Arabidopsis thaliana: one gene and its partners. The protein of the gene in region 1 interacts with the protein of each later gene in a pairwise test. Each region holds a gene or a part of one and is shown in the gene's direction. Other genes may lie near its edges.

Region 1 (7,488 bases):
AGATTGAGATTTCAGATTACATAAATATCTTATACAGAAAGTGTTAAAAGATAATTCGATTGGATTGATGTTATATCTCTATCATTGTTTTTCACTTGGCCTCGGAGATTAGAAGCAGCTTGTTAATGGGCTTTTAACAGTTACGGGCTTTAACGGGCCCAATAACAAAACTCTTTTGCTTCTTATATGATTTTGGAGTAGATGGTAAGTGAGATAGGGAAGTGGTGAGTGAAATTAGAAAATTCCTCGTATACAAAGTCCTAACCACCAGTCAAATTCAATTGAATGCTCCCATGTTTCTCCCTTATCTGTTCCTGAACCTACACTCTTTAATTTCATGGTTTCCTATTTTCTCTTAATTTGTTTATTTTCATGTCATATTCGGAAGCTTCAGATATTTTATCAAATAATGCATCCAAATAATTTTGAGCCACTAGTCAAATATCTTCTTCGTCTTCTTCTTGCTTAATATATATTTTAGTGAATCTATTATTGATACCACACACACATCTTTGATATTTCACAAAAGGTATCTATCGGAGCCGTACATATATTTTACGAAAATGTGGATAAGAGCGAGATTTGGATTGGTATTGGTAAGGCAAATTAAATGCGACACACTTCCACATTCATGATTCCACAAATTCTAATGGATTTGAACAAATATGGGACCAATTTTTATTTGTTTCAACTCCTAAATGTGGGACCAATTAACAAGGTTGATGTATTCTTCTTGTTCTTCCTCGTTCATTAATAGTTTGATTGAGCATGCACGCTTCTCTCAACCCACCAGTCCAAGTCAAACCTCCTCAAGCCATCCCCTAATCCTATATATCAGTTTCTTCTCGCAAACCACCTCACAATCTATCAACAGTTTTAAAAAAAGACATAACTCAACCAATCTCACTTTGAAAAAGACATGAACAAAACCCGCCTTCGTGCTCTCTCCCCACCTTCCGGTAACTATTTTCTCTTTAAACAGTATTAATCATGTGTTTTGCTATTCACATCACCAAATTATTCATAGTTTAAAGAGGTCGATGTAGAATTCATAGATATACATGTGTACATACGTGACTTTGTGACGATATATCGTTTTAATTTGTTAAATTTTGATCCCTTCTCTTAGGTATGCAACACCGTAAGAGATGTCGATTGAGAGGTCGAAACTACGTAAGGCCAGAAGTTAAACAACGCAACTTCTCAAAAGATGAAGACGATCTCATCCTCAAGCTTCATGCACTTCTTGGCAATAGGTTCGTATTCATTCTTCTTATTCTTTAATTCAATAGTAATGTGAACGGTACGTGCTAATAATCATTTTGATGTTATGTTTTTTCAGATGGTCATTGATAGCGGGAAGATTGCCAGGACGAACCGACAACGAAGTTAGGATCCATTGGGAAACTTACCTAAAAAGGAAGCTCGTAAAAATGGGAATCGACCCAACCAATCATCGTCTCCACCATCACACCAACTACATTTCTAGACGTCACCTCCATTCTTCACATAAGGAACATGAAACCAAGATTATTAGTGATCAATCTTCTTCGGTATCCGAATCATGTGGTGTAACAATTTTGCCCATTCCAAGTACCAATTGCTCGGAGGATAGTACTAGTACCGGACGAAGTCATTTGCCTGACCTAAACATTGGTCTCATCCCGGCCGTGACTTCTTTGCCAGCTCTTTGCCTTCAGGACTCTAGCGAATCCTCTACCAATGGTTCAACAGGTCAAGAAACGCTTCTTCTATTCCGATGAGAAATGGTGTATTTGTTTGTACACATTTGTTATATTACAAATGCACATATTATAATATTCACTAGAGAGATGGTATAACGATGTTTGAAATATGTTAATCCTGAATTGGACCGGCTGGTCATTGAACAACTATTCTCTTAAATGTCCGGTTCTGTTTTCAGTGATTAGTATTATAGTAGATCGTTAATAACTAACCGACGATAACCGCTGCTTATTTGATCAATCAAGCTGTAAGAAATTATAGCTAATACAGCAATGTTAACGGTGCACATTGACGGGAAGTATTAATTAACTCTCTTAAAATGGACAAGTATGTTCATTTTCCTCCAAACTACACTTTACTCTTTATTCAAAAGCAATTTCAAACTCTCGTTTCGCACAAAGGAATCTATAAATACGAAAATTACTTACTAAAGATATAAAGGAAGCAAATTAGTTAACTTATAAAATAATGAAATGTATCGATTTAAGGATGTCTTAAGCATGGAGACTATACGGTCAAATATGCACCAACTAGTACAAACACGTTCACATATATTTTGAACAAAACTCACAATGAATTTGTTTAAAGTATCTTCATACATGCTTAAAATAAAAATTAGAAAGTAAATACATTTGTACAACCGCTATTCAAACATCATCAAATATTAAACAAAATTGCATGACCAAAGAATATGAATGTTTGACAAGTATAGAAGAGGAGATTGTTTGCTAAGAAAATGGACCAATATTTATCATCGAAACTACAATCATCATTAAGGTTGTTTCTACGATTGCGGGATCTACAACCATCAAAGAAGTTGTTTCCACAACTGTATAAACTCTGATCTCACCTTCACTTTCATATTGTTCCGCAAGTACAACTACACCATAAATTTCAGAAATAACGGTGAGTATTGTGGTTAATGGAGAGTTGTGTGTGGATGTGCAAGCAAAAATCACATGCCTCATCAAACACTTCAAGGTTATTAATCTTCATCTGATTCAGACGAATACCCTCTTCTTTATGTAGATCTTTTTATTTTTGCATATGTCCAAAAATAATTATGAAACCAGCCAGTCAAACTTGCCAAAAATGTCTAAAAGATAATGTTGTCTATTTTTCAAGTTGCTATCGGTTGTTATGTAGGACGCAGAAGTCACGGGCATGGACGTCGGCCGATATGATGTGGATGTCGTGGTTGAACCTTTCTTTTGTTAAACCGAGATAACTTTTCAATACAAGACTGTCACAAACTATATGTAAGTCATGTTTATAAATTTTAATCAAAAGTATACTAAACTGTGGTAAAACAGTTTTAAGAAAATTATAGGTCCCAATTTGTATACATGCTTCAAATTATCTAAAATGTTGTTAAAATTCGATCTACCGGGTCATGTTCGACCGTTCCATTTGCAGGCTATATAATACTCACCAAAATTATGTTAATTGACATAATTTTTCTAGAACATTTTTGCTGTAAGAGATATTAAATTTTCTTACACATACAAAGTTATTTTTAAGGGAAAATAAAACATGTAAAGCTATATTTAGTTAATTACAAAGAAGATTTTTTCCATCTTTTAATAAACACTAGGGTAAGACAGATCATATACTAGAAACACATGTCAATACAATGCATCTAAAGGCCTGGAAATTTTATCTTAGTTTCTTTTCAAATAGAAAAAATAACTAATTTGACTATTTATTACCATTTAAGATTACATAAATAATACATACAGATAAATTTCATAACTCCAACATAAATTTCAACACAACTATAAAATACAATCATATAAGATCTACTTTACAACTAAGCACACAACAAACCATTTTCTTCAATAAATAGAAAAGTGGATTTTTTTATTGAATTTAAAAGTATAGTTCATTTCTATTATACAGTTTTGATCTAATATAAATGATAATAATTGATTATTTTTTTGACAACTGTATCATTTTCTCTTCAACCTCTACTTGCACCGTGAATCTCGCTCTCAATTATCTAGTTTGTTCTATTGTATTATTTAAATGTATCACATAAACTTTTATCTAAAAATATAAAGCCAGTAAACTAAAAAGAAAAGAAAAAACCATTTTTAGAGTTAGATAAAAAGTTTAAAACAAAAAACACTAAAACCAAAACGGTGTCGTAACAGCGACTTATCCTTTTTCGCCACATGGCTTCGTTGGATACATAAAAGCGATAGAGACGCATCTCTGAGTCAGAAGCGAGCCAGCGAGAGAGAGAGAGCGAGTCACAAAAATTCGAATTTTAAGCCGCCGTGTGAGACGGCGTAATGGCTGGTGGAGCTATCACTCCCGATTCTCTCATCGGTCTTATTGCTGAAATCAATGAGATTCCGGGGAATTTTGGTTTGTTTAAGAAGGATTGTTCCGATCTCGCGCGACGAGTCGGTCTCCTGACGCATTTGATTGAGGAAATCAGGGATTCTTCTCCGCCGTCGGAATCTGATGCTTCTTCTTCGTTGAATTCTCATGAATGTGATTGGTGGTCTGATCTTGTGGTGGGACTTCAAGCCGCGAAGCGTCTTTTGTCTTCAGCTACTAGTTTCCAAGCTCGCGAGTCCTCTGTAAGCATTCTAAACCATTCTCAACGATTGAAAATGGATTTGTGATTTCACGAAGATTTGGTCTCGCCATGGCAGGAACGTAATTTATAGGAAGAATTTGTTTTTAGTTTTTTTAGATTGGAAGATACTATTGTTGACATTTGTGTAGTGAAGAGCATTATTAATATATACATGAGGAGCTCTCTAAACTTTGATGTGTGATTTTGATTGAAGGATGGGGCAGCCAAGAGGATCTCATTCCAGTTCCAATGTGTTACATGGAAGCTGGAGAAAGCATTAGGTGATTTGACATATGATAGATATGATATCTCTGACGAAGTCCGTGAACAGGTAAAAGTTTGTTCATTATGTAGAATGTATGAAGATTTGGTTTTCCTATCCATGGAGGTGTTTCTAAGGGTTTTTTTTTGCTTGTGATTAGGTGGAACTAGCAAGATTACAGTTAAGAAGAGCAATGCAGAGATATGGATCGTTAAATTCGAAGAAGTTCTCGAGTGGTTTATCTGAGCCAATGGAGAAAGATGCCTCAAGTAATAGAAAAGTTATTGAAAAGTTGGAGAGTATTCCAGAGACAGTGCATTCTTTATCAGATGAGAAGAAATTTGAATCACCCCCTCCTTGGAAGAGCTCTTCAGTATCATTGGCCTTCTTTTTATCAAAGGATGGTGATGATGAGAGATTAGAGAAAGCAGTTACCGAGAACAGCGATGACTCACAGAAATCGGATAATCTCACGATTCCAGAGGACTTTCTTTGTCCAATCTCTCTGGAACTGATGAAGGATCCTGCTATTGTTTCCACAGGACAGGTCTGGTTTAAAAAATCAAATCTTTATATAGTGCTAACGTATGGTTGTTGATTTGAAACCTTAACAATGATCTTCTCTCTTCGTTGGCAGACATACGAGAGGTCGTTCATTCAGAGATGGATAGACTGTGGAAATCTGAGCTGCCCAAAGACACAGCAGAAACTTGAAAACTTTACTCTTACTCCAAACTATGTCCTCAGAAGCCTGATATCTCAGTGGTGCACTAAGCACAACATTGAGCAACCAGGTGGTTACATGAACGGTAGGACCAAAAACAGTGATGGGTCTTTCCGTGATCTAAGTGGAGATATGTCAGCGATCCGAGCATTGGTTTGTAAACTCTCTAGCCAATCAATCGAAGACCGCAGGACTGCGGTTTCTGAAATCCGCTCTCTGTCAAAAAGAAGCACAGACAACCGAATTCTGATTGCAGAGGCAGGAGCCATCCCTGTTTTGGTCAAGCTTTTGACCTCAGATGGTGACACTGAAACGCAGGAAAATGCTGTCACTTGCATTCTTAACCTCTCCATATACGAACACAACAAAGAACTGATCATGCTTGCAGGAGCAGTCACATCTATAGTGCTAGTCCTCCGAGCTGGAAGCATGGAAGCTAGAGAAAACGCTGCAGCTACTCTCTTTAGTCTTTCGTTAGCTGATGAGAACAAGATCATTATAGGCGCATCAGGTGCGATAATGGCCTTAGTGGATCTGCTTCAATATGGAAGCGTCAGAGGGAAGAAAGACGCAGCTACGGCTCTGTTCAACTTGTGTATTTACCAGGGAAACAAAGGCAGAGCAGTTAGAGCCGGTATAGTAAAGCCATTGGTGAAAATGCTGACAGACTCCTCGAGCGAGAGGATGGCTGATGAAGCCTTGACCATACTCTCGGTTCTAGCTAGTAACCAAGTCGCGAAAACTGCGATTTTGAGAGCCAACGCAATACCACCTTTGATAGATTGTCTCCAGAAGGATCAACCGCGAAACCGAGAGAACGCAGCTGCGATACTACTGTGTCTTTGCAAGAGAGATACTGAAAAACTGATCTCCATTGGTAGACTTGGAGCTGTTGTTCCATTGATGGAACTATCAAGAGACGGTACAGAGAGAGCTAAACGAAAAGCTAATTCTTTACTAGAGCTTCTCCGTAAATCATCCCGAAAATTAGGTTCACTCTAAATAGCCCTTAACATGAATTAATTTAGTTTTGCTGGCTATTGATCTGTTTATTATGTCCTGTATCTTATTGAGTTTTTGGAAGACTAATTTAATTTCCATTTGAGGAGAAGGTGGAGTCAAAAGAGTTAACGAGAATCGAACTCTTTGACTCATCTTTGTATTGATTTGTTAATTTTGTTAAAAAAAATGTTTCATATGATTTGATAAAGGTCGTGTGTTGTTACTGTTCCTAGAAAGAGAAATCAAATCAGCTTTTTGTTTTCAAATTCGTTAAAAGTCAATCTCTTCACGTGTCTTTGAGAAAAAATGTTTCGACAACGTAGTTTTCCAGATTAATCGGAGCGATTAACGCAAGTGTCATTTTCTCAGAAAACATTGGTCTCAAAACTTCCAAAATCACATAGTACAAAATATACTATGGTCGAAGTGAAGAACAGTACACATTTTCCATTTCTATTTATAAAATTAAGCATAAATTTTGGGTTGTTATTGGTCTTTTCAAGATTGATAGTGAAATGCGACGTAACTTTTGTCTTCTCATTGTTTTAATAATTTTCAAGATTTTGGCATTTTGTTGACCAAGAAATGGTTCACTATCATCAGCAACCAACCATAAATCAAATCCAAAATCTATAATGATCTGATCTAACACAACACCCACCTTGAACTACTGAGCTCTTAATAGACACCAACCTACAAAGTTTTTTCATCTCATTTGTGAACCTAAAAGATACTAACATTTTACACAACATCATTCACCAAAATGGGAAATAGCTTGGGAACCAAGAAAACAGCGACAATCATGAACATCAATGGCGAGAGTTTCAAACTGAAAACGCCTGTGGAAGCTGGTACAGTGGTTAAAGATTTTCCAGGCCACGTTCTCTTGGAATCCGAAGCAGTGAAGCGTTTAGGAATCAGAGCAAAGCCCTTGGAGCCTCACCAAAACTTGGAATCCAAAAGGATTTACTTCATGGTTGAACTTCCAAGGTATTATATTCCTCAATTTTCTACTTAGTTTTAGGTATCAAAGTTAGAATCTTTTTGAGTAAATCATTTAAAACCCATGTGACAGAACATGGAAAGAGAGAACTCCAAGAAGGGTTCGGTCGGGAATCCAGATGAGTGCGAAGGAGAGATTAGAGAATCTGAAGCTGTCTCGTAGAT
Region 2 (7,741 bases), on another chromosome or scaffold:
AAGACCTTTCTTCTTCCTTCGGTTGCCTCTACCATCTCATCAACACACATCTTCTCTTTCTCTTCTCTCATCCTCTCTCTTCTTCAGTGTTTACTTTTTCTCTTTCTCTTTTTTTTTTCTCTTTATTATTTCGCTTTAATGAGTTTTATCTGATAGAATCTGCTCCACCCAAAAACAGCATAAGAAGAAATTCATTGTCAGAGAAAAGTGCAAAAAAAAAAAACGATCTTCTTCATCATTCTACTAAATGGGTTCTTGTCTCAGTTCTCGTGTCCTTAGTACGTTCTCTACAATTCTCCATCTCCCATTTTTTTTTTTTTTTTTTTGTGATTCACACATGTGTATCTCTTCAAATCCGTGATCTTTTTGGTTAATCGATAATGGCTTTTAAGAAAAGGAATGAAATTTGCAAGAATCTTCTTCCTGTGATCTAACTGAATAAAGTTTTCCCCTTTTTTGGCGTTCTCTCAATTTTGACTGTGGTCAACGCTTTTGTGTGTTGTGCAGATAAGAGCAGTAGTGGTCTCGATGATCTTCATCTCTCGAGCTGTAAATCTTCATCATCAGCTACAGCTCATAAGACAGAAGGAGAAATCCTTAGCTCAACGACCGTCAAAAGCTTTAGCTTTAATGAACTTAAACTCGCTACTAGAAACTTCAGATCGGACTCTGTTGTTGGAGAAGGTGGCTTTGGTTGTGTCTTTAGAGGTTGGCTTGATGAGACTACTCTTACTCCTACCAAATCTAGCTCTGGTCTTGTTATTGCTGTTAAACGACTTAACCCTGATGGTTTTCAAGGTCACCGAGAATGGCTGGTACAACACTTGTTTCTTATCTTTGATTTATAACACTCTTTTGTTTTTGTGTGTGTAGGTTCTGATATTGATCTTTTTTTTTGTGGTTTCAGACAGAGATTAACTATTTGGGGCAGTTAAGTCACCCGAATTTGGTTAAATTGATTGGTTATTGCTTGGAAGATGAACAACGGCTTCTTGTGTATGAGTTTATGCACAAGGGTAGTCTTGAGAATCATCTGTTTGCAAGTGAGTCTTTGATCTCGTCCATGTTTTGTGAAACTTTGAGAGGTTGTTTGTTCTTATGTTTGAATGATTTTTTTGAAGATGGAAATAAGGATTTTAAGCCGCTATCTTGGATTCTACGGATTAAGGTTGCACTTGATGCAGCTAAAGGTCTTGCATTTCTTCATAGTGATCCCGTCAAAGTCATTTACAGAGACATCAAGGCGTCAAACATCTTACTGGACTCGGTATTCTTCTCTTTCGATGTCTACTTGTTGTCTTTATCAACGACTTAAAAGATACTGAGTTTTGTCTTTCAAACAACAGGACTTCAACGCAAAGCTTTCAGACTTTGGTTTAGCGAGAGACGGTCCAATGGGAGAACAAAGTTATGTTAGTACAAGGGTCATGGGTACTTTTGGGTACGCAGCTCCTGAGTATGTCTCAACAGGTACATTCTGTCACTAAGATATGATGCAAGTAATAATGGTTGGATAAGAAAATGTAAGACTGTTGCATGGTGCCTAACACTGGTTTTTAATGTAAATTTGAAGATAGCAACTATAAAATTTATGTGGTTAAAGGAGCATATGGGTTGATAGCTAGTTTCGTTCTCTCATCTTTCTATCTTTTTTCAGGCCACTTAAATGCTAGAAGCGACGTATACAGTTTCGGGGTTGTTCTGCTAGAACTACTATGTGGAAGGCAAGCACTAGACCATAACCGCCCGGCCAAGGAGCAAAACCTTGTGGATTGGGCTCGACCATACCTCACAAGCAGGCGAAAGGTTCTACTAATTGTGGACACTCGGCTTAACTCACAGTACAAACCCGAAGGAGCAGTGAGACTGGCAAGCATTGCTGTGCAATGCCTATCATTCGAACCCAAATCACGTCCGACCATGGACCAAGTGGTTCGAGCCTTGGTACAGCTGCAAGACAGCGTGGTTAAACCGGCCAATGTTGACCCGCTTAAGGTTAAGGATACCAAGAAACTTGTGGGATTGAAAACAGAAGACAAGTACCAGAGAAACGGTTTAAACAAAAAAACCGTTGGATTGTAGTAGGTAGAGGGAAATATAAGGTTACTTGGTTAGGTACTCTTCATGTCTTCTTCTTGTGTATTGTAATATTGTGCGAAGTGATTTTGACATTTTGTAACACTGCTTATAGTTTTGCTCCTGAAATATTCGATTTGGAGATACTTGTTTTCTCTCTATCTATAGTTTGGTGATATATGCCAAAATGTGGTAGTGATCAATTCCACTCTCTTCTAACATTTTAGTTTACTATATATGTAACTAATTTCTGTCAAGTTGATTTGTTTTTATGAAAATGACTTTAATTAGTATAGTTGATGATTGAATCATAAATAACTTGTAGCCAAAAACAGACAGAATAGTACAACAAACTCATAATGTAACATTAATATCAATTCCGAAGTTCACAAAATACCATAAATATCAAATTCCATGAACATTGTCATCAACCAGAAATAAATAAATTTTACGTTAATTAAGCCAAAATGGATCTCGAGTTAAATCAATATCAATAACTATTCAACATAGCCAAATAAGTCACTATTTTAGAACAAGAACTAACTCAATTTGAGGTTTTCAAAATTCCTATATCAATTTAGAACGAGAATCTCCAAAACACAAGTCACCTCAGTAAACTTATATATTTAAGGGTTACTTTGTTTTTGTCATAAATGTTAAAAGTTACTAAAACTGTTTTTTCCCCAATTTTTTTTACTGTTTCTCTAATTGTCAACAATCAACAATCTTTCCCTTTTTCCATTTAAAAAAACATACGCGAAAAAGGAAAAAACGCGATAAGGCCAAAAGCCCATTTAATAAATGGGCCAAGCTCTCCGATCAATAGAAAAAGATCTGTCTTCTTCTTCTCTATTCTCTGATCTCTCATAAGAAGGGCTTAGGGTTCACTTCAGATCTGTCTTTGAACATTGCTACTCTCAAGTGATCAAATTAACTCCGTCGCAGGTAAATTCCACAATCCTCCGACCGTAAACCCTAATTTATCACTGTTCTTCCAAGAAACAAGTTTTTGTTTTGATGAAATTGAGGATCTTGCGTTGAAATCGTTTTGTTTCTATGGTAGGTGATGAGGAGATACAGTCCGCCTTATTACAGTCCTCCGAGGAGAGGATACGGTGGTCGAGGTAGAAGTCCTCCTCCTCCTCCTCCTCGACGTGGATATGGTGGTGGTGGTGGTGGTGGTGGACGTAGAGGATCTAGCCATGGAAGTCTCTTGGTTCGTAACATTCCTCTTGATTGCAGGTAAATTCTCTTCCTTTGGTTTAAAGTTTTGATTTTGTTTTAGTTTATCTTTGAAGATTTCGTTGGGTTGTTGTTGATTTTGTTGTTTTTGATTTTGTAGACCAGAAGAGCTTCGTGAGCCCTTTGAGAGGTTTGGACCTGTGAGAGATGTCTATATCCCCAGAGACTATTACTCAGGGTAAGCCTCCTCTTTCCTTCTCGATATCTTGATCTTTTTCACTGTACCTGAAATTTGTGCTGCGAATTATGTCTTTTGAGGTGTGAATCTTTTATAGATGGACTAGTTAGGTAATGGCTTAGCATATGATTCTTGTTTTCCTGTAGAATTTGCTTTCTTTACGATTGAAAAATGCTGTCTAAACACTTTGCTGCTTCACATTCAATGCTGAACCATTTGTTTTGATTAAAAAGGATGTTCATAAGTCTTCAACTTGTGCACAAAGTGAGGAAAATTGCAAGTGACATATGAGTTTTGAATTTTGATTTTGGCGCAACCTGTGCATGTTACTTTTTTTATACACTCCACTTTTTGATCGAGCTAAGTTCTCGAGGTGAGAAGAGGTCCTTTTGGTTGAGTTCTCGATTTTTTCAGAGCTTTTTGTTTTGGAGTTCTTTTTTTCATAGTAAATTAAACATTCCACTGATTTCCCAGGGGGTATGTTGGCTTGAAGTTAAAACAAGACCAAGCCCCACATTTGATGAAGGCCTCATGAAAAAAATCTTAACTTAAGGATATTAAGGGTCATTTCAAATCAAGAATGTTTTGTTTGGAAGCAAGTTATATGTGAAGCATGTTTTATTTGGAAGGAAGTATTAAGTGAAGAATATTTTGTTTGGAAGCAAGTAATAAGTGAAGAATGTTTTGTTTGGAAGCAAGTAGTAAGTGAAGAATGTTCTGAATGGAAGCAGTAATAAGTGAAGCATGTTCTTTATGAAGCTATACAGTAAATTACTCAAAACCTTAGAAGTTTTTTGGGGAAGACGACCTGAAGAGAACTTAAGTTTGGGATCAAGTGCATCTTATTTTTACAAGATGCTTGCCTCTTTTCGAGTTGATATGCTTGAACTGTTATGAAAGGGTCAGCTACTAATCATATTAGCGTAAGTAGAACTCTGCTTTTCTTAGAAGTTCTCACACGATGACGTTTACTTAGAAGTTCTCAGAAGCTGTAGAATGTAGGCTGATTTTGCTGGTAATTCTAGATTTATCTGGTGTTTTGTGCATTTGCTTTCAACCATCAACCACTTGGAATGATAAGCTTCTGATAAATGATGCAGGCAACCGCGGGGGTTTGCGTTTGTGGAGTTTGTTGATGCATATGATGCTGGGGAGGCTCAAAGAAGCATGAACAGGAGAAGCTTTGCTGGAAGAGAGATAACGGTGGTTGTTGCTTCAGAGTCTAGGAAAAGGCCTGAAGAGATGCGTGTGAAGACTAGGACTCGTAGTAGGTAAGTTTCCATATTTCTGATTGCTTAAGCAAAAGAGTTATCAATCAAATCGCTCTTCGTGATTAATGCTCTGCAAGTTATCCATCATTTATGAAAAGAAGTTGAGAAGGAAATAATCGTTGCGTTGTCTCAATTTTTCAGGGAACCTTCAGGCTCCAGGGATCGTTCTCATGGTTAGTAATTTTCTCTCTGGTTATGCACATGTTATGTTCTATACCAGCAAAGTTTACACAAATATTAGCACAGCTAGATTGGGACGCACTTGTTTATACACAGCTTGAGAAAGCACTTGTTTATACATGTTCTCATGGTTTGTATACACAGCTTGAGTATGTTTATGATTTTTTGTTCTCAGGACGGTCTCGTTCACGTTCAATCTCTCGATCACGTTCTCCACGTCGTCCGTCAGATTCTAGAAGCAGATACCGATCAAGGTAACATGCTTCATCACACATACATTTCCATCATCATCAAGTCAACAAGAAGTATATATGGTTTTAGATAATGGTGTTACAGGTCTTACTCTCCTGCACCAAGACGAAGAGGAGGTCCTCCTCGTGGGGAAGAAGATGAAAATTACAGTCGTAGGTCCTACTCCCCTGGCTATGAAGGTGCTGCTGCTGCTGCTCCAGATCGGGACAGAAATGGAGACAATGAGATTAGAGAGTAAGTGAAACATGGTGTCTGATTTGTTTTGCCCCTGAAGATTGTGTCTGATTTTTCGTATCTGGACATTGATTGGTCTTAATAGAAAACCGGGCTATGAAGCAGAGGATAGACGTCGTGGTGGAAGAGCAGTTTCAAGGTCGCCATCAGGATCCAGGTCCAGGTCTGTGGAGGTATCTCCAAGATGAAACTTATGTGAAGAAGTGGCCGACCAAAACTTTGTGCAACGCTTTATGGGTTTTGCATTTCTCTAGTAGTGCGTCTCTGTGTCTTTAAAAACTCCTTACTCTGGCTTGTCAAAGATATTTTGTCTTGTGATGTGATGTTACTTGAAATCGGTTTCGGTTTATGGGTCTTATTATAAAATTGTATGAAGAAGATTGGTTATGCTTTTGATGTGAGACAGGTTTAAAACCCACAATGAGCGAGTAAACCAAGTCTTCTCTCGTATGGTCGAGGTCGAGAATTGCGACCTTTTTTTGTTCTCGAGCAGCCTTTGCAGATATTTAATTAGGAAAGTCAGGTCTAAGAATTTCTGAGAAGAAGAGAATAAAAAGACTCATTCATCTAGAAGAAGCCATAATGATGTTTTATTGGGTCTGTTTTGATCAAAAGTCCAAAGACTTCTACTTTTAATTGGGTTCGTATACATTTTTCAAGCAGCCAAGAGTCTTTCCTTAAACTAAGTAAGGGTAAGATGGTCATTTTAGCTTAGTTGACCAGACTTATAAACTTTAGGTTTTGCCTCCTGTTACGTAATAATGGTTTGGTTTGGTTTGATCAAGTCTTGGAACCACGACGCAGGTTATGTTTGAAAATTGAAAAAGAGTAAATAAGAATAGTAAAAAATCATTATGTGAACGAGAAAGTCTGCGTGTTCTTGCTTCTGTATTTAAAGACTTTGTCTGACACATCCACTTCATCAATCGTTTCTCTTTCTCCTTCTTCTTCTTCTTCTTCTTCTTCTTCTTCTTCTTCTTCTTCTTCTTTTTCTTTAGAAACAACACAAACCCCAAAAACTTAAAAAATAACTCTACAGAGATGGCTGTTGGAATCCTTGAGGTTAGTCTGATCAGTGGCAAAGGTCTCAAGCGCTCTGATTTTCTTGGTAATGATCTCTCTATTCTCTCAGATTTCGTATCCTTTGATCATTTAAAAAACCCTTTTACAACAATTTATATTTTTCTTGGTTTTGTATGATTGTAGGTAAGATAGATCCATATGTTGAGATCCAATACAAAGGGCAAACCCGCAAAAGCAGCGTTGCTAAAGGTAATTTAACTTGCTAGTTTCCTTCTTTCCATATTTCCAAATCTCTATCAGCTTAATTCGGGTTATTTCGTTTGACTTTTTTTTTCGTTTTATGCGAGAGAGACTATTTCTCCAATTTCATCATTTTCTTTTCTATATACTTGGACTTTAGGAATAAAAAGCCCACATGCTGGTGTTAGTTGATGGTTGTACATAAAGTAAATAATAGTTGCAACTTGCATCCATTGGTATTTCAACTATCCTCATAGCCATTACATGGTAGCTTAGGCTATACTATTTATTCGCGTTTTGATAACATTCATTATCTTTTATCAGTTATAACATTCATCAGGTTTTTACGTTCTGATGATGCATAAGTTATATAAATGCATGTTTTAAAAGTGTAACTTGAAAATAAAACAATCAATTTTCCAAAAACTAGCTAACTATTGTTCGTGATTATTCGGCAAAATTTGTTCATCCCAACTCTCAAATGCTTTCCGCTACTTTTATCATTTCACTATTTGTCATTACACTATTTTATATTTTGAGACATTTTGTGGTAGCTTGCAAGTTTGTTTTCATGTATATGGTTTAAATCTTGAAAAATGTTGTGTATGGATAGAGCTTTCTTCTGAAAGTAGTCATCTCATTTAGTGTGATATTGTCTGGCCAACCTTATTTTTAACTAATCACCAACTAATACACCAAACTACTAGCTATAAGAAATAATATTTTCATTTCCTACAAAAATGGGTAGTGAAATGTGAAAACTACTGTGATGTAAACAATCCTCGCTAGACTTGGTTAATGTTTTACTGAAGAAAATGGTGTTTTAGTGAGATATTGATTGCACGGCTTTAATCAAACGGCTTTTGTCTACTTTACCAATAACGGATCAAACTGGACAATGTTCTTTTCTCATTATCATATTTCATGTACAAACATCGTTTATCAAATTTTCATCTTTTTTGTTTACTTAAATGAAGAAGATGGAGGTAGAAATCCGACATGGAATGATAAATTGAAATGGAGAGCAGAGTTTCCTGGCTCCGGC
Region 3 (7,168 bases), on another chromosome or scaffold:
CATGTAGGTGGGATCTTGATAAGTGATAACTATCAATTTACAGAATCTTTGAAATGAATCTACGTGTCCTCAAAGGTAGCATAATATATTTACATTATAGTATTAACAGCAGGTACCACCGTCCACGTGTGCATAAAGTTTTGGTGTTTCTAGACTCTCTTGTCATACTACTAACTGAAATATTGTAATATGGTTTTCACACTAAAAAATCGAATCAACCCAATATATTATCAAATCAAACCAACGACGATAAATTTTACCTAAAACTTTTTTTTTAAAACGATTTTCAGCCGAAATATCACAAGATTATCGGTCTTGGGCTAGACTCTAGAGAGGGATAGATAGATGGAACTTAGAAAATAATAAATGGAAAAAGATATTAAAAGAATAATAACTTTGAAGTTCAAAGTACAATCGGAATGGAATATCAGTCTTTTGCGTGAATGCGTGTGATGTGAGTCTTGACGTCGTATATGGAACCAAAAAGGTGAAAAAGCAAACCGAGTTATTAAACCACTAATTAAAACTATAAGACATTCTTAGCACATCGGATTAAATAGAAGAAAATCAACAATAATTGAGAACGGAAGCATTAATTATGACATGTAATAAACGGGAAAAACAACGACAATTATGGACTTTGGAAGCATCGATTGTACTGGGGTTTGGAGCATCAATAATCCATATTTTGGATACAACAACAATTTTGTTTGTTTTTTACTCAAATAAAGATGCTATATTTGTTATGTTCAAAATCTCTATACATCTTTCGGTCTACGGCCAAATAGGCAAATACTTGCACCAATTACAAGCAAGTAAGTTTATATCTTGACATATAATCAATATATGATATAGTCCATGCGATTCCAGCTAACCACATATAACTAATTCATACTTTAGTGGAGCTAGCCAGATATAACTTTATTCATATAGTAGTGTGGTTATGAATCCAATATATAATTGATAGAGAAATGGTAGTTTCGAAGTAACGAAGGTTGACAATTTCAAAAAGCCCATACAATCAGTTTGAGAGACTTAAAAGAGTTGAATAATGTACAGCAACAACGAGTCAAAGTCATGCTTGTGTGTTACGTGTTCTATATGTGTCCATGATTATAACGCAATAGCAATATCATGTCGGTGCGCTAACTTGTTTTGACTTTTTGGGGTCATTAAACTAAAACATCAGTTTCAATATACATATACATGACGTCATAAACGTTCCATTCAATCGCTATGCCATTTTAATATAATAGAATTTTGCAACTTTTTTTTTTCCTCAAGGTAGAATTTTATAACTATAGATTAAAATTGGATAATTAAAGTTCTTTGTTCGTTTATTTGATTAGTTTTTCTGTAGTATAGGGTCAAACAAGGCAATGTTAAAAGTCAACCATCTTCTTTATTTATATTTGTTCCTAGTTAATTACACTTAACACTGTTTGTTAATTCATTGAAATTGTTTTGTCATGTACTAACTATTGATTATTCAGTCACCGTCCCATGACATGATAATCCCACCAAGGTACCAACACGTCCAAAACAACGAAATAGGAAATTATTATTTAGAATCTAATGGGCTAAAAATAAGGCCCAAATAAAAAGCAAAGGCCCAATATATACTGTCACAAAAACCCTCAAAGAACAGTGAAGCTCTCATCACGATCGCAACAATGGCGGCTGCTGCGAAGGAGATCCTACGGCGACCAGTGGCGGCAACAATAAGGCTAACCGTTCCGGCGGGAGGAGCGAGGCCAGCCCCACCGGTAGGTCCGGCGCTAGGTCAGTACAGGCTTAACCTGATGGCTTTCTGCAAAGACTTCAACGCTAGGACTCAAAAGTACAAACCAGACACTCCGATGGCCGTGACGATAACGGCGTTCAAGGACAACTCTTTCGAATTCACCGTCAAGTCTCCGACGGTGTCGTGGTACATCAAGAAAGCAGCTGGAGTCGATAAAGGAAGCACACGCCCGGGTCATTTGTCGGTGACGACGCTATCGGTGAGACACGTGTACGAGATCGCGAAGGTGAAGCAGACGGATCCGTTTTGTCAGTATATGCCGTTGGAATCGATTTGCAAATCCATCATTGGTACTGCTAATTCTATGGGTATCAAGATCGTTCAGGATTTGGAGTGATTTTAGGGTTTCTGATGAAAGAGTGGAATCAATTTGCTTCTGGTAAACGTCTTTGCTTTGAGTAGTAAAGTATAAACCATGAATGAATTTCACAGATTGTTTTGTGTTTTGGTGTTACTTCCATTGTGTTGTTTGTTTCAATGGATAATTGAGCTCCAAAAGCTTTCCAAAATCAAAATAGATATTGAGTTTGTTTAACTTTGATCGTTTGAATAATTTGGACAGTAAAGACATTGCATTGTTGTTGTTGTGGATGTAGAAATTGTTCGTATGAGCAAAGTATTCTAAAGTTTGGTCCTTTAACTTGATATATCAGATTCCATGGAAGAAGTTTTCCTCTGTAAATTCGATTTTTTCAGAGAATTGTGTGTTCATAGCTCAGTGATTTGAAGGAACAATGGGGGTGGTCTGAAATGGCAAGACATAAGTAGGATCTTAAGGAAACAACAATCTCAAATTAACAAAACTGAAAGCTTTTGAATTGAGTTGCTTGAATCTTCTTCTGCAATATGTTTTCAAGTGTCACAGCTTTGTTTGTAGTTGTATGTTTGGAGAAACTAGAACTTTTCTTGTGTTTCATTGGAGATTAGTTTGGAGTCTGTAATCGAGCCCCAAGCTTATGAGTTATGACTATCAAGCTCGATGAAATGTCCAGCTCGAACTAGTTGCTTTTGTGACCGGATCTTTAAAATTTGCCGTCTGTCTATGGAAGTTTTTGAAATTTTGGTACCATATCGAATGTTTTTGGTCAAGCAAGACATTGACTTGGCCCTTGGGAAACAATAAGACAGAGACACCTGACCGGAGCAAAGGGCAAAATAGAGAAATAGGGAAAAAAAGTTTAAATCGGGAAAATCTGAAGCAACGAGATTGATTAAAAAAATCACAGAAAAGAGCAAAAAGTGGAGAGGGTCTTACGTTTCAGGGCCACACGCAATCTGAGTGCCATTCCTCTCTTTGTCTTTCTCTCTCTCTTTCTCTGTTCTAAGAAAGGGAAGCTCTTTGTCTTTGTTTGGGTCCTTGCCAAGATCCAATTTTTACGATCAAAATCGACCCGGTGGAATTCAGACACGTCTTTTAGATAGAGATATGTCTTGTTCATCTTCTTCCGGATCAGAAGGAGAAGAAGAGGGTTTCGATGCTTACCGTAAAGGTGGTTATCACGCCGTCAGGATCGGCGATCCTTTTTCCGGTGGTCGTTACATCGCTCAGAGAAAGCTTGGTTGGGGTCAATTCTCCACCGTTTGGCTTGCCTACGATACGCTCACCTCTGTACGCATCTCTCTTCTTTTCCCATTTCTTCGATTGTTTTGTTGCTTTGATCGTAATTCTTCATTTTGACATCAACCATTCATTGGTTTCATTTTTCATCTGGCCTCTGATCTCTGACATATCGAGATTGAATCACATTTCAATGGCACTGTTGCAAGCTAAAGACTCGTCCTTTATATACAATACGCATCTGTTACTCTTAGAAGTCCAATAGATTTTAGTGCAAGATCATTGCTTCATGTGATGATGATTCTGATTTTGATATTGTTGGATTATAGCCCTAGATTTGGCACTGTACTAGTAGTCTCCTCTAGTTTACCAGATTTGTTAGCTCAAAATGGATTGCGTATTAAATGGTTATAGAATCTTTAATCATAGGAAGGTAACTGTCACCCTATAAAGTATATCCTAAGAATGTTTTGCTTTGTATGTTTTTATGTCTCTTGTTGTAGACTTATGTTGCTTTGAAGATTCAGAAGAGTGCACAACAATTTGCTCAAGCTGCACTTCACGAAATCGAATTTCTTTCAGCTGCTGCTGATGGGGATCTCGACAAGACGAAATGTGTTGTTCGTCTTATTGACCATTTCAAGCATAGTGGTCCAAATGGGCAGCATTTATGCATGGTGCTTGAGTTTCTCGGCGATAGCTTGCTCCGTTTAATCAGATACAACCAGTACAAAGGTCTGAAACTGAATAAAGTCCGGGAGATTTGCAGATGTATACTGACTGGTTTAGATTATTTGCACCGTGAGCTCGGTATGATTCACTCCGACTTAAAACCTGAAAACATTCTTCTTTGTTCCACCATTGACCCTGCCAAAGATCCCGTTAGATCTGGACTCACCCCACTATTAGAAAAACCAGAGGGAAACGCAAACGGTGGCGCATCAACAATGAATCTGATTGAGAAGAAACTAAAGAGAAGAGCGAAAAGAGCGGTTGCTAAAATATCAGAAAGAAGAGTCTCAATGGTTACAGGTGAAGAAGCATCATCGAAAACGGAAAAAAGTCTAGATGGGATTGATATGAGATGCAAAGTGGTTGACTTTGGTAACGCTTGTTGGGCTGATAAACAGTTTGCTGAAGAGATACAAACAAGACAGTATCGAGCTCCTGAAGTAATACTAAAGTCAGGATACTCTTTCTCTGTTGATATGTGGTCTTTTGGTTGTACGGCTTTCGAGCTTGTCACAGGAGATATGCTATTTGCACCTAAAGATGGAAATGGTTATGGGGAAGACGAGGTAAGATCTAAATCTAACCTCAAGAGTTTGCTGCTTCATTGTTTTAGCCTGATTTCTTATACGTTTTTGTTATCTGGTTTTGGATTTAGGATCACCTTGCTCTTATGATGGAACTCCTAGGAAAGATGCCTCGAAAGGTATGTGTTTTTTTTTGCTTTCCCACTGTGTTTTCTTGGTTTATAGTCTGCTTTTTGATATGCTTGTTTGAGCAGATTGCCATTGGAGGGGCGAAATCGAAAGACTACTTTGACAGACACGGGGACTTAAAGAGAATCCGACGGTTGAAATATTGGCCACTTGATCGCTTGCTGATTGATAAATATAAGCTTCCGGAAGCAGAAGCAAAGGAGTTTGCTGAGTTTCTGACTCCGATTCTTGAGTTTGCGCCGGAGAAACGACCAACTGCTCAACAGTGCTTGGATCATCCATGGATGAATGTAACAACACAGAACGATGCAGAAAATGTAGATGACCAAATGAACAACTTGCATATCAAAGGGTGAGAGAAACTCAAACTTCTTGTTTTTTTTGTGGTTTCATTCCTTTGTTCGTTTTCTTTTAATATAACTTTCTTCTTCTCTTTATATGTTTTTTGTTTTGTATAATTTCTCTTTTTTTTTTGGGGGGACCTATGATATATTGATTTAACCATCGAGTTCATTTGTTGCTTATTAAGAATGTCTATGTAGCGATGAATTGACTAACAAAGATGTTGCATCTTCTTATTTTAGACTTTGAATTTTGAATGTTCTTTTGATGTTTTGATATTATTGCTAGATGTCAGTTGGTTTGGGTTTAGATCAAATTTGGTTTTGGGTTTGTTTCGGTTGCTAACAAAAAGTTTTAATATCTATTTCTATCAGAATTTAATTTATTTTAACTAAAAAATGGTAATTAGTATTTGATCGAATCTAGAAAATTACTAGATCCCATAATTTACGAGTTAGTAGTACGTATGTCTAAATTGCAAATTTTGTTTATCCCTCTTTTTAATGATAGTTCATTTGTTTCTTGTCGGTTAATACAAAATTATTTTCTTGTTAAAAATATAAATGTTTCTGTCGGTTGTTTTTGTCAGCGTCATGTAGATATAGTGCAGTTACATTATACTTTATTGACTATCATATGAGTTTTTTTAGTATACCTGGTCAAAATATAACATGAAGTTCCTATTTTAGACATGTCATTGTCAATGTATTTATTCAAGTAATAAATTTAGGTTTGATAGAAACCAAAATACCCTAAATGGTGAAACTGAAATTTCACTGTCATATAAATTAAAAAATAAAAATTTACTCTAGTTAGTAGTAATTCTAAAAAGCGACATGGCCAGATGGGTTTTTAACTTTCAGACCACATGTGACGTACATGACTTCGTAGCTTTGTCTTTAGAGAATTTGCGTGTACTTCTGTGTCACACGTTCCATATCACCACGTGGATCTACACGTGACACCCTGTATCCAATCGTTGAATCCATTCAAAAATATTTGTTTCGTTGTAATTTTCTTATTAGCTAATTGTTTCTTAGCAAATAAAAAATGGATTAGATGAAGAAAAAACTTACCATTCAACAAAAAACAAGTACATCACTTTATTGCATCTATGAATCCAAAATATCAAACTTTCTTCTACACAACAACTGCGAATAAACCCATATATGTATTATGTATATATTTAACAATATATAACATAAATTTTAAAACACATCCAAAAAAGGAAACAACAATGTGATTCTTCTACCGAAAATGGTAATGCTGACCAAATCTTGAAAAAAAGAGTCATTTTTTCTGTAGACAATGGTAGTCACTATGACCGTACGGCTTTGTTCTGCTTCACACATTCTGGTGCCTTTATGTCCTGGCATTTCCAAGACGACGATCCTGCTATGACCGTGATCGCACCACCGTCTTCCTGCGGCTGAGCCACCGGTAATGGAGACGCGGAGGAAGTTCCGTTTTCTTGATTTCTAGAATTACAAATGCTCAAAGGAAGCTTCTTTAGCTTCACTCTTCCTCTTCTTTTAACCAATGAGTTGCTTTCTTCCCCTGATTTCTCCATCATCAGCATCGAATCCGCTTCATCCCTGTTTGATCTAGCTATCTCTAATCCTTCATAGGAGCTGTCTGAATCCACAACTCCAGCAATGTCTTTCATAGAACCGGTCACTATAATACTACTACTCCCACCTTCAACTACGCTCTTGTTCTTCTTCTGCTTCTTGTATCTCTGACCATTCTCCTCGCTAGTTCTCAAGACTCTAGGATACGACGTATTGTCTATAGCTCGATGCAACCTACGCGCTAAATCATCTTCCTCGTCTCTTAGCTGCCCCTTTGAATACAAGAGCTCGACGGGGACATGTTTCTTCTGCTTGTTCTTCCTAGGAGACCTCTCCTTGCAATCAGCCATTGCTTCTTTAGGAAAAGAATCAACCAATTCCAATGCCCTCTTAGCCGCAGCAATCGCCTTAGCGGAAATCAAAGCCTTCTCGTTAGCAATAGCTCTCG
Region 4 (7,341 bases), about 22 Mb from region 1:
CATATTGTGGTCTACGCGGCAATGTCTCTTGCAGTAGTGGATGCATTGATGGTGGGTACGTCTCTATTAGCTGGTAAGAATCTGTTGGGCCAAGTTTTCAGCAGTGACAAGAATACCATCGACTATGTTGCAAAGATGGCTCCACTGGTCTCTATTTCTCTCATACTGGACAGTTTACAAGGGGTTCTCTCAGGTTCGAGAACTGTTCCTATTTCTTTTCTCAAACATATACTAGTGTCGAATATTATGTTATGCACTTTTTAGTCAAAGATAACTAAAGGTGAACTCTTTTCTGCCATTCCTAACCCTCATTTGTTGGTTTGCAGGTGTTGCAAGCGGATGCGGGTGGCAGCATATAGGGGCTTACATAAACTTTGGAGCTTTCTATCTCTGGGGGATACCCATTGCTGCATCTTTAGCCTTCTGGGTTCATCTGAAAGGTGTTGGCCTTTGGATTGGAATAATAGCCGGTGCCGTTCTGCAAACTCTTCTGCTGGCTCTTGTCACAGGCTGCATAAACTGGGAAAACCAGGTCTTTTTCCCTTTTCTTTTGTTCTTTCTTCTTCATGACATGTTTCTATTGTGAAATAAACATATTGATGTTCAGTTGGATGCATATTTGAACTCTAGGCTCGTGAAGCGAGGAAGCGAATGGCTGTGGCCCATGAATCAGAACTTACAGAGTCAGAACTTCCCTTTTAAGATAACGGGGGCACATATGTTGTTCCTCAGGTTACACCATTTTGGTAGCAGCCAAATCGTTGTATGTTACTGCTAGACTAGCGTTTGCCGTGAATAATCGGTCTTTTTTGTAATAATACCATATGATACATCCCTCAGCAATCGTTGTTTCGATGAAGTTTCATCCTACTTATTCAGAAATACTTTGGACAGAAAATGATGCAGTGATCCCATTCTGCTGATACCAACTCGCAATCAGACTTGTAACACAGTAGTTGCGAGTCAGGGAAAGATGTGGGAGCTGCTTCTGAGTATTGGGGCAAGAGTTTTCCATCACAGAACCATTTCTCGACACAGACCCGTTCATAAGTCTGTCCAGAAGCAACAATGACAGGATCACGCATAAGCTGCAAAGATATCTGTTCTTCTGGTGGAATGAAAATCTGTCCTGATTTCCTACTGTTCATAAGCTTATAGTTGATAGAACCAAACTTCGATAGTTGGCGCCCAAACGCATGAACACGATGTTCATTACAACCTTAACCAGAGTCATTTGTCATCCACAATTTCACTTCTGAATAGCTTGGAGTACTTTTTCATGAGATGCAAGATGTAAGCCACAATGGAATCCTTCCCCTTGTCTTCTTCCACACTTTCCCAGTCAATGAGTTTCTTTAAAGCATGTCGCCTCCACCATAGCTGATCTAGAAGAAGTTCTACTACGTTCCACCAGAGCTGTCACAGGAGTTGTCAAATAGTTCAATTACCCGATCACCAACACTGAATCTGAAGAAATCACAAATCAAAATTAGAATTCGCAACTAGGAACTAGCAGATACCAAGTTTTACCAATCCGAACTCTAATTTCAAGAAACAAATAAACACGAGGGTATGCTTGTGTAATCAAAAAAACAAAAGACAAGCAAGTAGCTAGCAAGAGATACATAAGCCCTAATGTGAAAAAGGAAATGTGTTGTGCACTAAAACAGACATCACCTGAAACCCACTTGATCTAGGAACAATGTCCTCCATGCGTCTAAGACTTTTCATACATGCATATTTTGGTTTCTCAATTTCTACGGTATAGCATCCCCAGTGATGGCCTGTTTACAAGGACCAAAAAAAAAAGGGGGAATTCAACAGACCACAACAGAATGGAGGATACCTATCCAAAGAAAGTGAGATAAAGAGAAATTCACCAAGTAAAGTTTGCTACACTCAAAACAGTGTTGAAGAATGTTCTTTGCTTCCTCAAGTGAATTATGTAACGAACACAAGGCTTGAATCCCGGGTTTACTCCGAGGTCTTGCAATTTCCAACGACAGGAAGATCGACCACACCTTGTAATAAAGTGCAGATAATTTCTTGCACACACATCTCTATGTAACTGCATTTTATCAATGCCCATAACCACAACTTTAGCAAAGCATAGAGAACAAGACCATCAAATTAAACGAATCACGCAAACAAAGAATAAGAACAGGAATCCAAAAAAGGAAGAAAAAAAGACTAGAAAGCACTAATATTTTCAACTCAGGATTAACTGTCCCCAAGAAGATTACCAATTACTCCCTCAACAGAAGACTTTCTACAATCAACAGAGAAATGGATCAAAGGTAAAAGTTCCTTAACATCAAAAAAAAAAAGCAATCCATTCATGAATAACGTCATAACATACTAAGTAAAACCCAATGTTTTAATTTGATTCCAACAACTACTGACAGGAATCTTTGTGAAAGAGTGATGAATGAAACATATCATTTATGAGGATACCTTGGGCATCGCTAGCAGCGGACAAATTCTCCTCGACTCAGAATTTCACAACTAAAGATTACAGGGACCATACGTTCCTCCGGTTTTACCATCTTAGTAGCAGCCAAATCGTTCTCTGCTACTTTTGGACTAGCGGCACACCGCTAATAACGAGTCTTTTTGTAAGAATACTGCATGATTTTCGACAGTAATAAGAAGCAGCCTTTATCAATCGTTGTTTCTATCAAGATTTATTTCTTGTTGTTCAGAAATACCTTGGACAGAAAATAATGCCAACAAAGCCTTTTATATGTTCACCGAACAAATTCAGCTGCCAGTGAGCTTGAGAACCAAAGTAGAGACCAAGAAGTGGTGTTAATGGAGTTAATACAGTCGCTGCAACGCATATCTCCAAATTGACAGCATTACTGGAACCTGCAAAAACCAACAGTGTCAAGCCAAATTCAATCCCTAAGTGGTCAAGTAGAGCGTAACATAGATGAGCAATTCATATGTTACCTGAAAAACAGCTCTGTTCTGAACACACTCAAAAATAGACGACAGAGATTATACACTCGTGCGTAATTTACCAAGAGAATCAAAGCTGGAGGAGAAGGCATTGGCAATGCCACCAAAGAACAGTATCGACGAACCTAAAACAATTTTCCAGAACTCAGAGCTGGAGATACTACGGCGGCGGTGGATACGACACGGCTATTGCGGCAGAAGCGGACATGGCTAAACATGGAACACGATAAACATGGGGGAGAGGGAGTGGCTAAAGTGCGCATGGGACACGGCGGAGAGATTTGGGTCTCTATGTGACCGTCGGCGGTAGAAAAGGGCGGTCCGATTGGTTCGGTATTTTTTAGCTCTATGCACCTAATTTGATTCCGTTCATATGTTTTGACACGTGGACGATCAGGATATCATTATTTTATCTTCTTTCAACCACTTGTGTAAGTGTAACCAAGTATAAAAGAGAAAACAAAAACAAAAACAGCCTTTGGAGAATGGACCAGCAATTTAGTTATTTTTTTAGCAAAATTCCAAGAAACTTTACCAGCTTCGCATCCATATAGTAGTATTTTATAACGAACTACCTTTCGTCCATTCAATAGAATGACTAATAGATTGAAAAAGAGTGTGGATGATAAAAAGGTCAAAATACAGATTCATAGCAGCAAAAACCGAGATCCCAAACAAATTTGCATTTTTAAAATAAAAATATTTCATTGAAATCTAAGCCAAAGTTTAATATTATTTCATTTACGGGGTTTGGGAAGATTCGTCGAAGGAGGACATGCAGGCACAAATCACAAATATCACTCACCGCCTTTGTTTGACCCTTTCCCCCACAAATCATCAAAATTTACTGTTTTACATTCTCTCTCTATCACTCTGCATTTAGCCATGGGAGACGCAGAGAGCACTAAGGATCGCTTGCTGCTGCCGGTAGAGAGAGTCGAGAACGTGACATGGAGCGATCTGCGAGATGGTTCATTCACCGTAGAACTCAAAAGGCTTATCTTCTTCGCCGCTCCTATGGCTGCTGTTGTTATCGCTCAGTTCATGTTACAAATCGTTTCAATGATGATGGTTGGTCACCTCGGCAATCTCTCCCTCGCTAGCGCCTCTCTCGCCTCCTCCTTCTGCAACGTCACTGGCTTCAGCTTCATCGTCTGTTTTCTCTTCCTTCTTTCCCCTAAATTGATACACTTATCTCTGTTATTTTGATGATTGTTACTTTTTGCCTGTGGTGTTAGATAGGATTGTCATGTGCCTTAGATACTTTGAGTGGTCAAGCTTATGGAGCTAAGCTATACCGGAAACTAGGAGTTCAGACTTACACTGCTATGTTCTGTCTTGCATTAGTGTGTCTCCCTCTTTCTCTCATTTGGTTCAACATGGAAAAGCTTCTTTTGATCCTTGGCCAAGACCCTTCTATTGCTCACGAAGCCGGAAAATATGCCACCTGGCTTATCCCAGGACTGTTTGCTTACGCTGTTCTACAGCCGCTCACTCGCTACTTTCAAAACCAGAGTTTGATCACACCTCTCCTCATCACCTCCTATGTTGTGTTCTGTATCCACGTTCCTCTCTGCTGGTTTTTGGTTTACAACTCAGGGCTTGGTAATCTTGGAGGAGCTTTGGCTATCAGTTTGTCAAACTGGCTCTATGCCATTTTCCTTGGATCTTTCATGTACTACTCCTCTGCCTGTTCTGAGACACGTGCGCCGCTCTCCATGGAGATATTCGATGGCATTGGAGAGTTCTTCAAATATGCTCTTCCTTCTGCGGCTATGATTTGGTACTTCACTTTTCTCTGTGCCTTTTCACTTCTCAAAGCCTCCACACTAAAAATTATGTTGTGTGTTGCAGCCTAGAGTGGTGGTCTTATGAACTTATAATATTACTCTCTGGTCTCTTACCCAACCCACAACTGGAGACTTCTGTGCTCTCTGTCTGGTACTCCTCCTTGCATCGATCAATTTCTTCTTGTTACAATTTTGAATTTGCAAGAACATAATGTTATTCACACTGTGGCAGTCTTCAGACAATTTCAACAATGTATTCGATACCACTAGCAATCGCGGCTGCAGCAAGGTTAGAGCTTTAGTCACACTATGCAGTACATAAATACTGAAGCATATTTTCTGCTCATGACAAGGAATCATATGGTTTCATATTCATAAGCGGATGTTTATTTCTTGTGCAGCACAAGAATCTCAAATGAATTAGGTGCTGGAAACTCTCGAGCAGCACATATCGTGGTCTATGCGGCAATGTCTCTTGCAGTTATTGATGCATTGATAGTTAGTATGTCTCTACTAATCGGCAGGAATCTTTTCGGGCACATTTTCAGCAGTGACAAGGAAACTATCGACTATGTTGCAAAGATGGCTCCATTGGTCTCTATTTCTCTCATGCTTGACGCTTTACAAGGGGTCCTCTCAGGTCTGAGACTTGTTCTTCTTTCTTTACTCACACACAAGTTCTTGTCGGATATTGTTTACTCTTTTCCTCCACATAGTGCAAAGACACTTCATGTTCTGTGTTTTGTCCTGTGTCAAAAGCTATCCCAAAAATATACTCTTTTCTACCACGCCTAATTGTCTTTTGATGGTTTGCAGGTATTGCAAGGGGATGCGGATGGCAACATATAGGAGCTTACATAAACTTAGGAGCTTTCTATCTCTGGGGGATACCCATTGCTGCATCTTTAGCCTTCTGGATTCATCTGAAAGGTGTTGGCCTTTGGATTGGAATCCAAGCCGGTGCCGTTCTGCAAACGCTTCTGCTTGCTCTTGTCACGGGCTGTACAAACTGGGAAAGCCAGGTCCTACTTCTTTTTCGTTCTTTTCTTCTTCATGACTAGTTTCTCTTGTGAAATAAACATACAGATCTTGAATTGGATGCATGTTTGAACTGTAGGCCGATAAAGCGAGGAATCGAATGGCTTTGGCCTATGGAACATAAGGCGCTGCAGAACAGCACTTACAGAATCAGATCTCCGCGTCTGAAGATATAGGGACCTGATGATCCTTCGGTTTTACCATTTTGTTAGTAGTCAAATTGCTGTACTGTATGTTACTTTTGGACTAGTGGTAGCCGCAAGTAATATTGCATGGTTTTCCAAAAAGGAGCCTTTTCTCTGTTCTCAACAACAAAGAATAATGAACAGATTCACTGGACTGTGAGCTTGACCATACAAGCAGAGACCAAGAAGTGGTGGTATTGATGGAGCTGCTACAACCACCACATATCTCCAAATTGACAGCATCTGATTTCCTGTCACTAGTCCCACTTCTCACAAGAGTAACTGAATTACTCGAACCTGTTAAAGTTATCAAACCAATTTTAATGATCAATCTTGGGGCAAGGCTTTAAAAGGCACCCTCAGTGTCAATTAGAAACATAACATAGAGTTTCTACTGAGTCTTGGGGCAAGAGCTGTCCATCAGTGATACATTCCTCAATACAGACATGTTCATAAGTCTGTCCAGAAGCAAAAAATGATTACCTACTCTCCATGGGCTTATATAGTTAATAGAACTAAACTTTGATAGTTGACACCAAATGCATGAACACGATCTTCATTAGAACCTTGACCAGTGAGGGAACATGGTGTTGGACACTAAGAGTCATATATCATCCAAAATTCCACTTCAGAATAGAATGGAGTATTTTCTCATGAGGTATGACAAATAATTGATTCCTTCCGGTTGTCTTCTCCCACACGTGCCTTGTGAATGAGTTCTTTAAAGCACGTTGCTGTCACTGCAAGTTGTCAAATTTCGTCAACTGTTGCAACCGTGCAATCATCCGATCACCAACTTCCTTCTCTGATATGGATCAAGCAACAATGTCCAAATCTGAACAAATCACATATCAAAATTAGAATTGCAACAAGGAACTACCAGAGACCAATTTATAAATTCAGAAGCAAATATACACGAGGGCATAATTAATCAAACTGGCTGCAAGAGACTTATAAACCCTGAACAGTTGCTAATATCGCATGGAGGACATTGTTGCTAGCTCAACTGGGTCTCAGATGATGTCTGTTTCAGTAAAAAGTAACACATAACTGCATTTTATCAATGGCCATAACACACAACTTTAACAAAGCATAGAGAACAAGACCATAAAAACATAAATTACATCAAAGAACAAGAACAGAAATCTAAAAACAAAGCAAGAAGGAGCGATCACACTTCAAATAAACCAATGAGGTAGTGGACAAAGCCCTCACCTAATTCCAGATCAAACCGGCGGAGATGACGGGTGAGGGGAAGTCAGCGCAGGATAAACATGGGAGGGAGAGAGATAGTGGCTAAATTCCACATGGGTGACAGAGGGCGCCAAAGTATGACTTACTTGGAGTGATTTGGATAGAAAATGGTG

What was found.
Region 2: the proteins of AT1G71020 (region 1) and SCL30 interact in a two-hybrid assay, tested with the Arabidopsis thaliana proteins (one large-scale study listed by BioGRID).
Region 3: the proteins of AT1G71020 (region 1) and AT4G35500 interact in a protein complementation assay, tested with the Arabidopsis thaliana proteins (one large-scale study listed by BioGRID).
Region 4: the proteins of AT1G71020 (region 1) and AT1G15170 interact in a protein complementation assay, tested with the Arabidopsis thaliana proteins (one large-scale study listed by BioGRID).

The regions. Positions count from the first base shown.
Region 1 is NC_003070.9:26,789,658-26,797,145, reverse strand, and holds AT1G71020 (ARM repeat superfamily protein), read left to right. Parts: upstream 1-3,826; 5' UTR 3,827-4,040; coding exon 4,041-4,334; exon of another isoform or gene 4,335-4,547; coding exon 4,548-4,664; intron 4,665-4,755; coding exon 4,756-5,142; intron 5,143-5,232; coding exon 5,233-6,321; 3' UTR 6,322-6,597; downstream 6,598-7,488. Other genes in the region: MYBL2 (MYB-like 2), read left to right, coding at 920-959, 1,130-1,256, 1,343-1,763; AT1G71015 (plastid movement impaired protein), read left to right, coding at 7,085-7,311, 7,397-7,488. UniProt on the Arabidopsis thaliana protein: Functions as an E3 ubiquitin ligase.
Region 2 is NC_003074.8:20,557,882-20,565,622, forward strand, and holds SCL30 (SC35-like splicing factor 30), read left to right. Parts: upstream 1-2,920; 5' UTR 2,921-3,021; intron 3,022-3,139; 5' UTR 3,140-3,142; coding exon 3,143-3,318; intron 3,319-3,418; coding exon 3,419-3,496; intron 3,497-4,596; coding exon 4,597-4,767; intron 4,768-4,908; coding exon 4,909-4,940; intron 4,941-5,122; coding exon 5,123-5,201; intron 5,202-5,283; coding exon 5,284-5,433; intron 5,434-5,518; coding exon 5,519-5,621; 3' UTR 5,622-6,004; downstream 6,005-7,741. Other genes in the region: PBL1 (PBS1-like 1), read left to right, coding at 248-326, 445-815, 908-1,043, 1,122-1,267, 1,347-1,470, 1,658-2,082; AT3G55470 (Calcium-dependent lipid-binding (CaLB domain) family protein), read left to right, coding at 6,475-6,541, 6,640-6,705, 7,674-7,741. UniProt on the Arabidopsis thaliana protein: Involved in intron recognition and spliceosome assembly. Probably active at the 5' splice sites.
Region 3 is NC_003075.7:16,854,245-16,861,412, forward strand, and holds AT4G35500 (Protein kinase superfamily protein), read left to right. Parts: upstream 1-3,108; 5' UTR 3,109-3,230; coding exon 3,231-3,413; intron 3,414-3,826; coding exon 3,827-3,858; intron 3,859-3,865; coding exon of another isoform or gene 3,866-3,894; coding exon 3,895-4,660; intron 4,661-4,749; coding exon 4,750-4,797; intron 4,798-4,872; coding exon 4,873-5,163; 3' UTR 5,164-5,359; downstream 5,360-7,168. Other genes in the region: MRPL11 (mitochondrial ribosomal protein L11), read left to right, coding at 1,674-2,141; AT4G35510 (PHD finger-like protein), read right to left, coding at 6,468-7,168.
Region 4 is NC_003070.9:5,216,844-5,224,184, forward strand, and holds AT1G15170 (MATE efflux family protein), read left to right. Parts: upstream 1-3,559; 5' UTR 3,560-3,846; coding exon 3,847-4,113; exon of another isoform or gene 4,114-4,199; coding exon 4,200-4,744; intron 4,745-4,815; coding exon 4,816-4,902; intron 4,903-4,983; coding exon 4,984-5,040; intron 5,041-5,152; coding exon 5,153-5,391; intron 5,392-5,567; coding exon 5,568-5,773; intron 5,774-5,868; coding exon 5,869-5,913; 3' UTR 5,914-6,130; downstream 6,131-7,341. Other genes in the region: AT1G15160 (MATE efflux family protein), read left to right, coding at 1-193, 327-532, 631-702; AT1G15165 (RING/FYVE/PHD zinc finger superfamily protein), read right to left, coding at 876-1,137, 1,274-1,416, 1,678-1,784, 1,900-2,068, 2,455-2,485, 2,709-2,868, 3,107-3,224.